Linked DNA regions of Oreochromis niloticus. The protein of the gene in region 1 interacts with the protein of each later gene in a pairwise test. Links are inferred from orthologs where the notes say so. Each region holds a gene or a part of one and is shown on either strand. Other genes may lie near its edges.

The links.
Region 2: the proteins of pex12 (region 1) and pex10 interact in a two-hybrid assay, tested with the Homo sapiens proteins (4 studies listed by BioGRID, with this or other methods). The link is inferred for Oreochromis niloticus from reciprocal best matches to the Homo sapiens genes PEX12 and PEX10.

What each region holds. Positions count from the first base shown.
Region 1 is NC_031969.2:4,526,358-4,530,277, reverse strand, and holds the start of pex12 (peroxisome assembly protein 12), read left to right. Parts: upstream 1-926; 5' UTR 927-1,164; intron 1,165-2,142; exon of another isoform or gene 2,143-2,145; 5' UTR 2,146-2,147; coding exon 2,148-2,270; intron 2,271-2,361; coding exon 2,362-2,897; intron 2,898-3,396; coding exon 3,397-3,790; 3' UTR 3,791-3,920. UniProt on the Homo sapiens protein: Component of a retrotranslocation channel required for peroxisome organization by mediating export of the PEX5 receptor from peroxisomes to the cytosol, thereby promoting PEX5 recycling.
Region 2 is NC_031984.2:35,142,101-35,146,020, forward strand, and holds the start of pex10 (peroxisome biogenesis factor 10), read left to right. Parts: upstream 1-839; 5' UTR 840-1,102; coding exon 1,103-1,214; intron 1,215-3,062; coding exon 3,063-3,143; intron 3,144-3,217; coding exon 3,218-3,621; intron 3,622-3,860; coding exon 3,861-3,920.

The DNA.
Region 1 (3,920 bases):
ACCATCAAGTTTCACAGACTGTATATAAATTAATATGTTTTCTATCAACTGCTGGTTTGTCACTAGTTCTAAAGGCAAAGTGGCTGTTTGATAAACCAGAAATAGATTAGAAGACATCATATTAAAAGACAATATATAAGATGATCACAGTTTCCAATACTTCACACTGCTATACTTGAATGAATAAACAGACTGTCAGCCTGCTTCCAATATTAACAGCAACACAATTGATACATTTACATACATACACTATATTTTTTAATTTTGGGGTCTATGAATCTGACCCTAAAATTGAATCAGTATAACACTAATTCTATTCTATTTGATTGGCTCAGCACGATCACGTAGGATGTGTTACAATGTACTTGATTGGTCTATTTGTTTCTATGTTATTTGGACGCGGTGCTTTGTGTGACTGCTGTATGTATAGAAAAATGTAAAGAAAAACCCTGCGCAGATTAAAATCGACGATACGTCAAAATCAAGTAATTAATGTGAATTCGTAAATAAATAACGGAAATAAAAATGTGTTTATACAACTGTTATTTCATATTTGTCTAATAACTGCTCTCTTGGCTCTCTCCCTCTTCCTGGGGGGGATTTTTAAGGTCAATTGCACTTTTTACCTGTATAAATAAAGGATATAGCGTCGCTTTTGCAAAAATCTGGTTGCAGCTTCTACCTTGTGACTGGTATAATTTTTGGGGGGCTAAAAATTACTTAATATCATTAAAGACAGATATGTTTGAGAGCTTATAGGCCAACAAGTTATTTACAACGGTTTAAATAAAGGCAGACTATCATTCTTTGGCTCAGCCTGGCTGCGTCCACCTATCGGTGGCCTAGGATCTAGAGCGTCATAAGTTGCTTGACAGCGAAACAGCCAATCACGGTAGAGTTAGAGGGTCCCTCCTTAGAGTCCGATGGAGCAGTCGCATACGCTTGCGTGATGACGTTGTTGAAAAAAAATAGAGCGTGTGTAAACGGAAATGGTGAATTGTTGTGGACAGTACACGTTGTGGGGCGAGAGAGGAGAGAAATGGGACAAAATCAGACTCCGTCCTAATGTTTTGCTCAGCGCTGCCGTGTGAGGTAGAAGAAGCCTGAAGAGAATTGACGCTAACGCAGACCTGCTGGCTGGGAGCTAGCAACCAGCAGAGGAAGGTACGTGTGACCACAGAAATAAAGTAGTGAAAAGCAAATGCTAACTCCCGCTGTCAGTACTTCTTACTGTTTAGTCTGTTAAACTGTGTTAAACTGGTAATAGCACCTGTCCAGTACCTTACTTACCTGGCGTTAGCACTGAGTAAGATGCGACACTGGCTGGTGTTTCCCAGCCGTCAATTCAAAACGTCACTGACATATTAAGTGTTTCACAAATGCTCATATAGGCGGCTTGCGTTTTTAAGACTTTGCAGTGTTGCACTGAAGACACCTGTGCCGTTTAACGAGAAATGCAGCCTTCAGGGACAACTCACGTTGAAGTAGGTCATGCCAGCTTTGCACCTTGTACCTCGGTTCTAAGTTCATGCAGCGGCTGCCTGTAACTGTCATGTTGCTTACTGAATCTCTGTAAGGGAGACAAGATTAGTGTGAATCACAAAGCTCCGATAGAAACGTCCTTATTGTGCTCCAGCCACCTTAAAATATTCCCTAGGGCTTATTTGGGCAGCAATTTTCAAACTTTACTTGAATAAATTTTAGTTTTAGTGAGCACAGGGACATAAAAACTGCTCAATTGCCCCTCAAACGGGATTAAAACTGCTTAAACGTTACTGACTGACAGATTTTAAGTTAATATTAGTCGTGAGATTCCCAAGAAAGTGCATTTTAAGCTGTACCTCAAACGCAGCACCAAATGGTGATTTTCTTCTACCATGCCTGTGTACAGCCTGCTTTGAGCTCTGTATTCAAAGATTGACAGAAAGTTGGATGTGACAGTGTTTCCCTGAGGTCAGCTGCTTCCACTGGCTGCTGGTCCTTGAGCTGATGTAAATAAAGCGAATGTTTTGTCACATATGAAGTGCTTTCAGTGTAGTTACAGTAAGCCAGTAAATCCTTATACAGATGGAAGAGTCTCTCAGTCTGGACTTGAGTGCAGACTGAGAGACAGTAAAAGGTAACTGTGCTGTGTTTGTGCAGCAGCCATGGCTGAGGCCGGAGCCCATCTCACATCCACGGCTGTCAGTGAGCAGCCGTCAGTGTTTGAAGTCCTGGCACAGGAGTCTTTGATGGAGGCGGTCAGACCGGCACTGAAGCATGCAGTCAAGGTGAGCACGTGTGTGTGTGTCGGGGGCGTACTTATACTTTCCATAGATTTGTGTTGGGTTCTAACAGCCTCGCTCCTGGTGTCATTTCCAGGTTCTGGCAGAGTCCAACCCATCCCGCTTTGGCTTCCTGTGGCGAAGCTTTGATGAGCTGTACCTGCTGCTGGACCTCCTCCTTCAGAACCACTTCCTGTCTAACTGCAGTGCCTCCTTCTCTGAGAACTTCTACGGACTGAAAAGAGTTTCAGGCAGGCAGAGACTTCCTGTGCGCCTCGGGATGACCAGGGCATCCCGCTGGTGGTCTCTTCTTCTTCTGTGCCTGCTGCCATACCTGCAGGCCAAGCTGGAGGCCAAGTTGGCACGGCAAAGGGATGAGGAGGATTTCTCCATCCGGCTGGCGCAGACGAGGAGCCAGAGGCTGTACCGGGCGGCCGTAGCAGCATACCCGTACGTCAGCTCAGCCTGGCAGACCTGGATCTTCTGTCAGCAGCTGCTGTTTGTCTTTGGAGTCTCCAGGACCCACAGTCCTCTCCTGTGGCTGGCCGGGGTCAGACTGGAACGACTTAATGCTCAAGATATCAGAGATATGGAGCGGAATGCCAGGACTCCCGGGAGACCAGCTGGTGGAAGGTACAGCTGGCAAACTCCCTGCTGTCTCTGTTTTTACCCACAGATGTGCTTTGTACCCGGATAGATCACCAGTTGCAGATTCTCACCTGAAAGAAGTTTTTCATGCAGCCTGTTTAACTGTATGTTGCTGATACAACGTTCCATGCATTAAAATGCATTTAGTCAGTGATGCAAAAACCACAAAACTGTTGTGTCCTTATGGTCCAAGCCTGCTGGGATGGCTCAGATCCAACACATTAGAAAATGGATGTTTTTCATAGAGAATTTTCAGACAGTGAGATTAATTTCACTTTGTTTGGCCAAAGGTTTAAGTACTTTAAACACTTATCAAGTTTAATGTTTGCTGATGTGCGCTGTGTGGCTTTATTTAGGTCATTTGGTGAATTGATATGAGGGCACACAAACATACACTCTGTGATATTTTTTACAGTTCTTGAATGAGGCATGTCGTAAGAAAACATTGCTAAACACCCACAATGCAATGTTTCTCTGTTCACAGCCTGATGCAGAGAGCGTGGTGGATGATGTCACAAGCAGCGAGGGGCATGGCTGTGTCTGTCTCCTCTTCCCTCTCTATGGGGGTTTTCTTCCTGCAGTTCCTGGAGTGGTGGTACTCGTCTGAGAACCTCAGCACAGTGAAAGCTCTCACCTCCCTGCCTGCTCCTCCGCCCCCGCTCCACCTGCAGCAGGATCAGACCGGGCTGGGCTCAGAAAGCAGGAACTGTCCTCTGTGCAGGAAGCCCCACACCAATGCCACCGTGCTGTCCACCTCGGGCTTTGTGTTCTGTTACCGCTGCATTTACACATACGTGAAAAGTAACCACCGCTGCCCGGTCACCGGATATCCCACCGAACTGCAACACCTCATCAAGATCTACTCACCAGAGAGCTAAAGCATCAAGCAGTCAAAGCAGACAACTTCAGCTGTGAGTGTGTGAGAGAGAGATGATAAACAGACACAATATGAAAAATATATTTGAGGGATATTCACAGCTGTTTTCATTTTTCTATACAATAAACTGT
Region 2 (3,920 bases), on another chromosome or scaffold:
GTTTCTTTCTGATAGTAGAGTCATGCACGTTCACATCGACAGTAGAGAGCCTGCTGTAGTTCCTGTGATGACATTTTAGGTTTTTTGATGACTTCTTTGAGCATCTTGTGGTCTGCTCTGGGGGTGAATATGCTTGGACGGCCAGACCGGGGCATGGTGGCAGTTGTTTTAGTGTCCTCCACTTGTAAACAATTTTCCAAATGGTGGAATGGCTAATGTCACATTCTTTTGAGACCTTTTTGAATCCCTTACCAGACTCACAAGCGGCCACAATCTTCTTTCTGAGGGCATCAGACAGCTCTTTAGATCTCACCATGGTGCTCACTTCAACACTTCGGCTTTCGAACTATGCTATGATAACTAGATGGATGGTCACCCACATTTTTAGCTTATATAGGACAGCATCCATGGTTTCCAGAGGAAATGTCTAACTGTGAGTGAACACTGTGCCTGAGTCCGTCAGTCGGTCACGTTTTCTTTCAGTCAGACCTGTAAGTGCTTTCACTGTGTCTAACTCATCTGTTTGACGTACACACACAGATCTTTACATTATCAGTTTTTAAGAATTTTGATTGTTTTCCTCCAGTTGTTTCCACCAAGTACATGAGCACTACAATGTACACTGACTCTTCTTGAAGGGTCAGGTGGTCTTTGACAAAGAGTGAGTAAAAAACAAAGGTGGTTTTGTTTTGTTAGGAGTGTATGTTTTAAAAGCTGAACACATAATATAAGATGACAGCTTGATACCTTGTTAAACACAATCGGATGAAATCCAAACCTTGTGCGCTTGTAGTGCTCCTCCCTGCCCCTGAGAGGCGCTGTGAGTTATAGGGTTGGCTGTCTGTCTGTTTGTACAGCAGACAGTTCCGGTAATGTTTCCTGGAGCGGCTCAAAACTCCGCAGCTACTCTAAACACTCTCAGTGGATGTTAGTGGACGTTGAGAGTGTGCAAAATGCAGCTCGGATCAGAATAAGAGCAGTTAGGTTTGTTTTATCTGGTGTAGTGACCGGACGACTTGACTTCAGCCTGCGTGTGAATGAAGAGCAGTACCCTGGACGGTGATATCTCGGTGTCACAGCGTGTGACCGGCTGTACCGGACGATGCCCCTGGCTCCTGCGACTCGGGCTCAGCTGATTCGGTGCAGTCAGAAGGACGACTATTATCGAAGCTCTCTGAGGAACAGCGCTAACGACGCCTTCCAGACTCTGGCCGGTAAGAGAAGCACAGCTAAACCGGCACTCTGTGATTCTGGGTATAAGGACTGAATGTCTTGTTTTAACGTAGTTCACTTTCGAGCTCGTCCTGCGATGCGACAGGTGTTTGTCTCCCGGTGTAATCACGGTCTGTGACTTCAGGTGTTTCTGATGTCTTTACTTTTATGGGGAAACAGCCTTTAGTGAGCAGGATTATTTACAAAGGGGTTATATATAAACTGTAGATCTAAACTGGATCCTTATGACTCTGTGATATTGTAACTACATTGTAACCAATCCAGTCTTTTTTGGCCTCGTAAAATATCTTCATAAAACTATGGTTATAGTTGTTGGCCAGAAATATTTTTTTGATGTGAATGAGATTTTTTAACTGGAGAAATAAAGAATATATAATAATAATATAATATAATAGAATAATAGAATAATATATAAACGTCACTTTGTCAAAAACAGTTTTATTTATATAGCACCAAGTCATAACAACAGTTGCCTCAGACGCTTTATATTGTAAGGTAAAGATTCTACAATAATACAAAGAAAACAGAGAAAAACCCCAGAATCAGATGACCCCTGTGAGGAAGCTCTTTGGCGACAGTGAAAAGGAAAAACTTCCCTTTTAACAGGAAGAAAATAGCATCATAACTAAGGGAGGATTCAGGGTCACCTGATCCAACTGTATGCTTTATCAAAGAGGAAGGTTTAGAGCTCGATCCTAAAGGCAGAGAGGGCGTCTGTCTCCCCAGTCCAAACTGGAAGCTGGTTCCACAGAGGAGCCTGAGGGCTCTGCCTCCCGTTCTGCTTTTCAGTACTCTAGGAGCCGCAAGCAAGCGAGACCCCAGTCTGATTGACTATTTCAAAATAACAGCCCTTTGAATTTGCTTATATATTAGCCACTTTTTTTGAATTCAGAATCCCATTAAAAGGAAGAAGAGCCACTCTGATTGGCTGTTGCACCTCACATGATAAGCTTACACTGATGTGTGCATTAGACAGTTTGCAAAACTAAGCGGGGATCTCAAAACAGCAATGGACAGCATGATAGCTACAATGAATAGTATTCGCTCCAACACAGCTTCCTCCACATGCAGCTCTCAGAAATGTCCACTGAGCACACTGTTGTCAGGTGGTTTTCATGGATTTGCTGTGTATGTGTGAAATATGGCCGGTTTCAAAAGGAAACCATGAATAAACATGACTTGTGTTGCTGTTTATCTGTCCCAGATAAACACACTAACATTGTTACTGCTGTATACCCTTACAGTGGTGTTCGGTCAATTTCAAGATTTTTAGATTTTAAAATAATAGCACTTGTTCGTAATAAACACCAACATGTACCTGAAAATAAATGTCAAGCTAAATTACTGCAGTAATTTTTTTTCACTTGTATGAATCATGGTGTATTTTGAAGTAATGTCGCTGCTACATATGTTTGTTACATGTTACTGACTGCTGCACATGTGTGTGTTTTGACGTAAGCATTTGGTGTTTGTATCATCTCTGCTCTGTTGGACCGTTTAGCAAAAATCAGCCCATCTGACCTAAAACAGTTATGATATAGGGAGATTTTCTCCCCCAATAAAGGAATATTTAATCTATAATCTACTCTTTATTTGATCAGAAACATGCAGCTTGTGAGTTTTCTTTTTACCCATGTAAGTAGAAGCTGAAGCTGTCAGACAAATACAAGTTTGTCTCTGTGTATAATCCATGTGTATATGCACTGTAAAGATATTTGTCTGTGGGATGAAGCATATTAATCAAACATATTTCATGTTAGGCATTATATTACATTATATTGCCAAAGTGAGGTAATTGTAACCTCTGTATGTTTTCTTCATCTCTGTAGGATCCAGACGATGGCTGGAGTGGAGGAAGGAGATCGAGCTGTTGTCAGATCTTGCATATTTTGGCCTAACAACATTCTTGGGTAGTCACCACAAACCATGTTCAGTTAATGCATTTAGCTGATTTCCTGTTTTGATTGATGGTTCTCCTCTCCAGGCTATCAGACTCTGGGTGAGGAATATGTTAACATTGTCCAAGTGGATCCCACTAAACGTCAGATCCCCTCTCCAGCCAGACGAGGTGTGTTTGTCCTCTGCCACGCCTTCGTTCCTTATCTGTTGGACAAGCTGCTGGTGTGTCTGGAGAACGAGCTTGAAGGCGGGCAAGAGAGCCGCGGTCGGCAGCAGGTGGGGTCCGTGCCATGGAGCCTCGAGGCTTGGCTGAGGAGATGGGTCCAGAAAGCGGCGGCGCTGTGTTCAGAGCCCCAGAGGAGGGCGTGTCTGAACGCTGTGTTTGTCCTCCAGCAGAGCCTGACCCTCCTCTATCGCCTCCACTCGGCTCTGTTTTACGTCACTGGCTCGTTCCACCACCTGTCCAAGAGACTGGCTGATATTAGTTATGTAGGTAATTAAAAAAATCCAGTGCTGTGGGAAATATTTGTCCCCGAGTTATTTCTTTTTGTTGTTTTTTGCATATTTGTCATCCTGACACGCTTCAGATCATCTTTGGTTTCACTGTGGATGAATTCTGTGCCACTCTTCTTTGCAGAATTGTGACCCTGATTTTACTTGGAGTCCATTGAAAGTGACATTTCATCCTACAGCTCGTATCTTCATGAATCTGTGTGTGTGTGTTTTAGATGCGTGTGGTAGGGCTGAACAGTAACGACAGCACCATCGGGAGCAGCTACAGGTTACTG